3 linked regions of the Yarrowia lipolytica genome follow. The main gene of each other region encodes a partner of the protein of the gene in region 2 in a complex. Links are inferred from orthologs where the notes say so. Each region holds a gene or a part of one and is shown on either strand. Other genes may lie near its edges.

What was found. The genes of interacting proteins can lie anywhere in the genome.
Region 1: YALI1_E20635g (region 2) and YALI1_D29852g share a complex: the UniProt entries of both Saccharomyces cerevisiae proteins name them as parts of the mitochondrial large ribosomal subunit. The link is inferred for Yarrowia lipolytica from reciprocal best matches to the Saccharomyces cerevisiae genes MHR1 and MRPL25.
Region 3: YALI1_E20635g (region 2) and YALI1_A03278g share a complex: the UniProt entries of both Saccharomyces cerevisiae proteins name them as parts of the mitochondrial large ribosomal subunit. The link is inferred for Yarrowia lipolytica from reciprocal best matches to the Saccharomyces cerevisiae genes MHR1 and MRPL27.

The regions. Positions count from the first base shown.
Region 1 is NC_090773.1:2,984,123-2,986,740, forward strand, and holds YALI1_D29852g (mitochondrial 54S ribosomal protein mL59), read right to left. Parts: upstream 1,053-2,618; coding exon 501-1,052; downstream 1-500. Other genes in the region: YALI1_D29841g (uncharacterized protein), read right to left, coding at 402-452. UniProt on the Saccharomyces cerevisiae protein: Component of the mitochondrial ribosome (mitoribosome), a dedicated translation machinery responsible for the synthesis of mitochondrial genome-encoded proteins, including at least some of the essential transmembrane subunits of the mitochondrial respiratory chain.
Region 2 is NC_090774.1:2,061,643-2,064,675, reverse strand, and holds YALI1_E20635g (mitochondrial 54S ribosomal protein mL67), read right to left. Parts: upstream 1,116-3,033; coding exon 501-1,115; downstream 1-500. Other genes in the region: YALI1_E20626g (uncharacterized protein), read left to right, coding at 2,036-3,033. UniProt on the Saccharomyces cerevisiae protein: Component of the mitochondrial ribosome (mitoribosome), a dedicated translation machinery responsible for the synthesis of mitochondrial genome-encoded proteins, including at least some of the essential transmembrane subunits of the mitochondrial respiratory chain.
Region 3 is NC_090770.1:325,939-328,786, forward strand, and holds YALI1_A03278g (mitochondrial 54S ribosomal protein mL41), read left to right. Parts: upstream 1-1,922; coding exon 1,923-2,348; downstream 2,349-2,848. UniProt on the Saccharomyces cerevisiae protein: Component of the mitochondrial ribosome (mitoribosome), a dedicated translation machinery responsible for the synthesis of mitochondrial genome-encoded proteins, including at least some of the essential transmembrane subunits of the mitochondrial respiratory chain.

The DNA of each region.
Region 1 (2,618 bases), on a different chromosome or scaffold from region 2:
ACCACTTTGTCGGCGAGTTTGCTAGGGTTGGAGTTATCTTCTCTGCTGAAACTCATTGACAGAAAGGTACGACCAGTATTATCAACCGTCAATGCTGCGACGACTTGCGAAGACAATCTCAATCCCTTGGATTAATTGGCCAGAATTCTCGGAATTCTCATATCCAGAGGCTTTTGGAACTTGATATTCTCGTCCTGGTTCTTGACCAGGTTGTTTAGTACTCTCGATACTCGGGGCAGTATTCGAGGGATCTATACGCATTAGAGACGTGTTTGTCACCTTGTCAAAGCTTCAAACCCCAACTCCGATCTTGCAAAGACCATCTCGACGTACACAGAAGTCTACAGTATGTACTGTACTGTAAGAGCCACTCGGCTCTGGGCTTGTTTCAAGTTCATTACTATATACATATCCTCCTGCTGGGTAGATCGAATGAGATGTACGGATGCCATCCATCTGGTTGTGTTCGATGTACAGACACTTGCTCCTCTCGTATCTGTCTAAACCCACTGCTTCTTCTCTCGCTCCCGTCGCTCCAATCTCTCCCAGTGTTTCTTTCCCTTTGCCTCGGCAATCTTCTCGTCCATGGTCTCCAAGGCCTTGGCAATCTTTTCCTTTCGCGACTCCTTGGTCTTTTCTCGGATATGCTTCTTCCACACCATCTCGCCAATCAGAGGCTTGGCCTGCTCGTGTCGGGTCTCGAAGAAGGTCTTTTCCATGGGAGGAAGCAGCTCGTGCACTCCGTGCTTATGGGCCAGCTTGTACAGGTCCGACTGTCGTCTCAGCGAGTACAGAGGCTTGTGGGTCTTGTTGGTGACTCGCGACTTGTTGGGCAGGAAGGGGTTGGCGTTGGGGGCGTCCTTGAACCCCTTCTTGGCCGAGTAGTTGACAAATGGCTGGGGAGGGAACCGCTGGAAAAAGTCCTGCAGCTTCTGGGGCAGCTTGGCGAAGTTGGCGTTGGGGATGTACGACGGAGAGGCGTCGATGACGGGCACCTGAGCCTTGACGGCGCTGGAAACGGCCTGCTTGAGCATGTTGACCGACGGTTTCATTTTGTGTGGTGGTGATGACGAATCGGTGTGCAGGTCAATTTTTGATCCAAGTGGAAAACCTTAATTGAACTGGAGGTGAAATTTTTGGCCGTCGATTGTGGAACAGTATTAAAAGGTCAAATTGTGGAATATATGAATAAATGAGAATAAATATGTTTTTATAATCTCCTTTTTTTAGTTCAGGTTCATTTTTATTTCATTTTCAGCTGTACTGGAACAGTTTTGAGAGCGTATAGGAGTACTCGTTTGTAGATTATGAGTAAGTTTAGTAGTAGTCTGATCGAGAATCGAACCCCGGTCGTTCCGCGGAAACGTGGTTGTAGGTCGAGTGAAGAGATGCTCTTTTCAGGGTATTGAGTCGATGGTCTCACTTGGTTTGTTAGGAAGTCTTGTTTCAGCCACGAGATGAAATGATTGCAACTTTTTCCACTCATTTTGGACCATTACTCAGTGATATTGATGCATTCCAGTTATCGTGTACTTCTCAACAAATATATCAACTGAGTTTGACATATCTGTTGAGCTCATAAGTACCGTATTAACACGACTTTGACGGATTAACCCATAACTTGGTTAGTTTCGACGCTTCTGACTTACAAGTGGTATCTTTGGATGGATATGAACCGCTATGTAGACTCACTACTCTGCACACCAAGGACGTCGTGAAATACGTAAGTAGTGAAGTGAAGCGTCGGGTAATTGTTTCAATATCACCTTTTATGGCTCCATAGTACATACAATGGTATACTGTACATGTAGCTTCTGCAAACTGCCTACTGAGCATCTCCAAACATTGGATCCTGCACCCGATGCGAGGGTGTGGCTCCCGGTGGAGTGGTGATGGAGTGTGAATAGTCACACTGTGGAGGTAAATATCGAAATATCCAAAGGAATAGGGCTTGTTATGCCCGAATGAACATGAACATGTTTAATGAATGTGTGCCTTCATCTTTCAGCACTCCGCTCACTTGGAACGATCTGATGCTGAATAAAAGCCATAGGCTTCTCTGCACGCCAGTAGAGCATATAACTACAGGTATTCTTACAGAGTCTTAATCTAACCAAGACGCCAACACGCTATAAATTCCTTTTATCAAAACACAACGGCCCCTTTGTTAGTTTAGACCATCTCCTATGTTAGCCTACACCTATTCACATCTAGTTAAAGTCTTTGTTCAGCCGGACAAAGAGCGTTCAACAAAGAGACCAACAAAGGGACCAACAAAGATCATGCAGGTTGCTTATCAGAGTTGGAAATAAGGGGAGAAGGACTTGCACTTGTATTTAGATAAGTACTCGGAAATGAAGAAGCCAATAGAATAAACCAGGCGTAATTGGCAGTTGAACGTTCAAGTTTGGCCTCTGCCAACTCCATGCCACATGACGCCCCCACAATCTTTTTGAAGTTTCACTTTTCACCTTGTGAGTCACAAAGCACATCTCCGAGAATACGACTGGATGAGTTTATCTATGAATGTGAACGCCAGCATGGGACGAGGAAATGGGCGAAGCGAATGTCCTTTCTGGCGTGTTACAAGTATAATGGTCATGGGGTCTACATCAGGG
Region 2 (3,033 bases):
TGCTGAACCCTTTCTGACCCTTTCTGAACCTTTCTGAACCCGTGCTCTCAACCATTCTGAACCTACGCTTTGTCAAAAGAGTGGGGGTTCAAAGTGTGATTTGTGGAGTTGACACTGAGGATAACTACAGAAATCGATAGTAGAGACTTGTTGTGCTCATTGGTGAAATGTGTACCAGTCTTCAGCGACTTTGTTGTCAATGGTGGAATGGTAGAGCCCAGAGTTGTTAGTTGCATAAGCTGACTCAGTCTCTAGTATCAGAAGGCGAGCTATAGCAGCTCTGCATGACTTCCTACAGACTCCTGCTCATCCGGCCACTATTGATATATCGGAGTTCGACTTGTTTCGTACTCCGACTCCCACAGCTCAAGCCAGACCATCTACAATATCCACACTTTACTACTTTGCCAGTATAACGTCTTGTGAGCGAATACCCATGGATAGGACCCGTTCAACCATAGTGCTTCGCACTCTTTGTTTCACTTCCTTAACTATGTACATTACTGCTCAGCAGTCGTCTCACCAGGCACCTTGGCTTCCTTGGCAAGTCGCTTTTCCAGAGACTGGGGGTAGATGGCGTCCCATCGCTTGAGAACGCTATGGTCAGCATTCTCAGGCCAGGACTCAGCGGCTCCTCGTCTCCACAGGTCCTCCCAGTGGATGGTCACGGGCACCTTGACGGCCTCGGTGACGGTCGACAGGTCTGCCAGCGCCTCCTGTGTGTAAACGGGCCGGTACTGGCCGTCCTGCCACACGTTTCCGGCGGCGTTGGTCTTTCTCCACCCCTTGATGTCCTTCTTGCCGTCGTGGGTTCGCTTGTATCGCAGGTACACGAGGCCGTCGTAGGCATCACAAGCAGCCTGGTGGTCGCCGAAATCGGCAACGGCCATGGGCCGCCACAGATCCTGTCGCATGGTGGGCCGCTTGTTCTCCCAGTTGGGGTCCTTGAACTGTCGGTTGAGATGGTGCTCCGTCACGCCGGGGACCTGGGTGTAGGCCACCTGTCCCGTCTGGAGGTGTCGGTAGACGTACACAAACGCGGGCTTACCGTCTCGCTTGAGAGTGGCGGGCGTGTACTTTCGTACGGTGCCCATGGCTTTTGTGTACTGTGCCATTGTTGATGGAGATGATGTTGCAGTGTGAAATTTGTGATCTCCATTAGGGTTTGAGGGAGGTCTGGAGGGAGGGAAAAATTGCAAATGGTTTTCGCGGGATTCGAACTGGCGTTCACGAGGTGACGGTCACGGGATGATCGGTCTAGCTCTTCCCTTCGCTGACTAACGCCCGAAACCAACTCTTCTGACTCAGCTCGGTCTCGGCTCAACAAAGTTGAACTCTGAAATTTGGGGGGACGCGTCTAGCGAGACATCGATCGACCGAAAATGTGCAAGCGAAATAAATCCAAGAAAAGCAGATAATTGGAAAAAAATCAGGGGCAAGGAAGGAACCGACACGGGCCTAGGGATATATGTCACGTGACTACCCCTACTACTCCACCCACCGACACCATTCATACTGTTATACGTCCCCGTCAGAGGGCTTCCTCCTCGGTCTCTTGACATGATCATTCTACTGCTGTTTTTTGACTTCACAAGTATGGTGCCATTAGTGTTTTTCTAGGGTGGTTTTTCTCTGTAGGAGCTTGTCTTAGCTACGCTGTGGCGAAACTTGTGGTACGAGAGTGTAGAAGCAGGCACGGATGACGGGGGGAGGGGCAGTAAAGAGGGCCAAGGTGGCGATTTTTCGGAAATTTGAAGGTTGCCAGGTGGGAAATGGGCGGTCTAGACCCTGGTTTCCGAGCCCAACTTGAACCCCGTCCTCTGTCCATCGCTCCACCTGCCCATCTGATAAGTCTAGAAGGTTATGTGTCTTTGTCACCAAAAATGGCAAGACGTTACAATTAAGAGTTTCCAACTTTGGCGCGTATCTTCCCCTGACCTACGAAAAAAAACGCTACATTTGTACCGACTTGCTCGCCAACAACTCCAGCTACACCGCCAGCTCCAGCGAAATAAACAGCTCCACCCCTTGCGACATGTACAACGGCACCTTCAATCTCGGCCCAATAACGCTGACGGCCCCCAACGTGTCGTCGATACCGCCTCCTATCTACAAACACTCCATTCCACCACTCGTGTCATGGATCTCGGACGAGAATCTCGCGCTGCTGCTGCCCATCATCTGCTACTGGACGTCGGGCATCATGTTCCACATCATCGACCAGTACGAGCTGCTCGAACAGTACCGGATCCACACTCCTGAGGAGGTGACCAAGCGCAACAAGTGCACGTTTGCGGAGGTTGTTCGAGACGTTATCAAGCAACACATGCTCCAGACGGCTCTGGGCCTGCTACTCAACTACTTTGAGGAGCCCAACACGACTGGCCATGAAGCTCACGACATTTGGACGTGGCAGGTTCGGTTTGGAGGACAGACGAGCCCCGCAAAGGCGTGGCTCGCGGCGTTCGCCTACACCTATCTGCTGCCCTTTGTCAAAATCTCCTTTGCCTTCTTCATTCTCGACTCGTGGCAGTACTTTCTGCATCGGGCCATGCACCAGAGCAAATGGTTATACAAAAAGTTCCACTCCAGACACCACAGACTCTATGTGCCCTACGCCATTGGAGCGCTGTACAACACTGCTCTGGAGGGCGTGCTGATGGACTCGTGTGGAGCCGGCCTGGCATACATGGTTTCGGGCCTGACTACCCGAGAAGCCATCTGGTTCTTCTGCTTCTCCACGCTCAAGACTGTCGATGACCACTGCGGCTACTGCATTCCCTGGGACCCGTTCCAGATCTTGTTCCCCAACAATGCCGTGTACCACGACATTCACCATCAGAGCTTTGGCATCAAGACCAACTTTTCGCAGCCCTTCTTCACCTTCTGGGACCGCATTCTCAACACGGAGTACCACGGCACCCGGGGCTACGTGCAGAAGCAGAAGGAGATCACGGCCCAAAAGTACAAGGAGTGGGTTGAGTCTCGAAGCGGCTCTTCGTCCGAGGATGAGAACAAGGCCAAGGCCACCGA
Region 3 (2,848 bases), on a different chromosome or scaffold from region 2:
GAAGGGGATATGGAGGGGGTCTATATACTTCTGGGGACACCATTTAAGTCTATAACTTGCTCCTAAGATGACGTCGAAGTCGATAACATCTCACATTTCCAATGCAATGCCGTGTGGATAACGACGTCACTTGTAGAAGATCTATTTAGAGCCGTGCAGATGAGAAGTGTTTGCCGATGCCTGGTGACTTAAGCGAGGTGGGGGTCAGATGTGGTGGTGGGGCCATTCTGAAGGGCATTCGAAGAAGATAAAACTGCAAATGCTAATTTTTTAGCGGTTTAGAGAGTTCTCAAGTCATCTAAAAAGTTGATACCATTGGTATTGATCCAGTTGTCGCCATGTGTCCTTGAATATTCCGAGGCATTTAAGGTTGGCTATAATTAGAACCGTTGAAATTAGCATGCATAAATAAAAGTTCGACAGTTCAACATGACGCCAACTCCACATGAGAGGAGCATCCAAGAATAGACCTGGTCAGCTGAACGAGTTGCTCGATCTCAATCTCTTCGATCAGGGTTGTTTTGATTGTTTATTAGAGCATCGAACATTTTGTGGAGCCAAGCTCTATATGAGTGAGAGGTACGAGCAACTAGAAATGCCCTTCACTTTGGTGAAGAACTCGGTCTTCATTTCTCGTAACTGCAAGTGCAAATAGAATTAAATACCCCCTAATTATAGTGTCACCAATACCGAGTTATTATGGTCATTGAGTTGATCCTACGGAGTCGAAGGGGAGTTTGATAGCACTTGCGAAGTCAAGTTCATATCACGTCTTGAGTTCAGGCAACTATTTTACCGAAAGTCCACTCATAATGGGAGTATTTGGGAATCAAACCACCCAGGCTAGGATCTATCTTCGTATAGTTATATGATCTAAAATGTATCATCTATGTATCATCTAGCATGTATCCCTTCAGTATAGCCCCTTGTGTTCCCTTTGGTGCTAATGGATCACTCTCGGGGAGTTTCTATTGATCATTAGACTGGGGTATGATAATTTAGCATAATTGTACAAAATACAGTATGTACTGTACGTACAGTGCCGTACAATCTGTACATATCCTGTTTGTCTATTTCGTTCTATCGTCGACTGGATGTTCAGGTGTATATGATGCGACTAGACACATGTGGGACATGGAGAGAGCTGTTCCATAAAGGAATAGACTGGAGCCCCATTGGATTATGGCCATTGATAATTAATCTTTCCAACTGTCAACTACTCACTCAATACAAGACTATAGTCAGTATGTCATTATTCTCATTTTTCAATCAGCTTCCGGACACACCAATCCTGACTCAGCAAACAAGAAAAACATCCACACGAGAAGCAAAAAAGAATGAGCGGGGGGGAATTAACCCCTGGCCTGCTTGCAATTTGGGAAGGCAGATATTTCCACTACACCACCGCCCGAATGGTGGGGTCCCAGAGTTGTATCGACTATAAGACAGTGGAAATGATCAAATATCCGGCGAAAAAGGCTAGAAAAAAGAGATAAAAACTGTGTAAAGGGGTAAAATCAGTAATATACAGTACTATGTAAAGAATTATTCATAGTTTTTTTGTCTCCAATGAATCATCTCAGCCTCCAACTGGAATACTCAACAAGGAATAAACATCTCTAAAATTGATACCAAAATAACCACAAAAAATGTGACATTTCAATGAACAAATTCCCATCACGCATTTTCTTCAAAAATTCGACCCTTGATCTCCTTCTCCGCTCCCGCCATTTCATCTTTTCAATTTCCCTTATCTCCTATCTCCGATACGAGAACCTTATTTGCTTCCATCCTTCAAGCTTATTAATCATCTCCCAGCAAGCTTATTTTGTCCCGTCACGTGAGAGTGAAATTTTACGGTTCCCAAATCATCACCGCGACATCAAAAACCATTCAACACACAACACAAACATCTCCACACAATGAGACCCTCGTTTGTGACCCAGCTGCTGCGACCATGGAAGAAGGACCGTTCCGGGTACATGTTCAACCTGTTCTACGGTGTGTCGAAAAACGGTAACAAGCGACTGCCCCTTACCTCCAAGCAGGGTAACAAGAACTTCTACAAGGGCCATGGAGCCGGTGGAGTCGGTAAGACCACTTCCAAGGGTCGATTCATTATCAACCGAGACAAGGTCCGAACTTTTGTCGTTCCTGCCGGTCTGGAGGCTTGTGAGCTCAAGCCGTTTGTGTCCCCCACCCTGGAGCCCATCAAGAACTCTTTCCGAGGCTTCTCGGGTCCCCTCGACCCCAAGCTCACCGTCAAGAAGGTGAACGAGTATGTCAAGTCCGGCCCTGTTGCCGAGGAGGATGCCCCCGATCGAAAGAACTGGATCGATCGAGAGTAAGAGACGTGTCGGTACGTGACACACAAACCTGAAGGATGAGCGACTGGACACGAGTCGAAACCAGAGGAGGCGAAAATTGTATATATTGAGCATGATTCATGATGATTGAGAACGGTGGGAGTTAGTAGTTGATGTAGGTCGGTGTAGTGATAGTCAACGTGACGGTGGTGGTAAGTATTAGATGGTGTACTTAGGAGTAGAGTGGTTTGTTTCATCGAACTTATTCCAAAAGACAGAACTTGTTGTATGTGTACATTTGTCTTTCAATCGCTTGTTTTCTACATCTAGAGTCTGGTTTTGTTTTTCGAGAAATTGGCTAAAAACTGAAATACTGTCCAGTTCCACGCAGAATAGATACAATACAGTTGGATTTGATTTATTATATTTTTCGAACGTCGAATCTTCAATTCGATGGGGCACCACACACTTCTGTTCATAGGCCAATTGTAGCTGATCCACAGGCCCCATTCGGCTGAGCACTAAGCCCATGTGTTGCGATC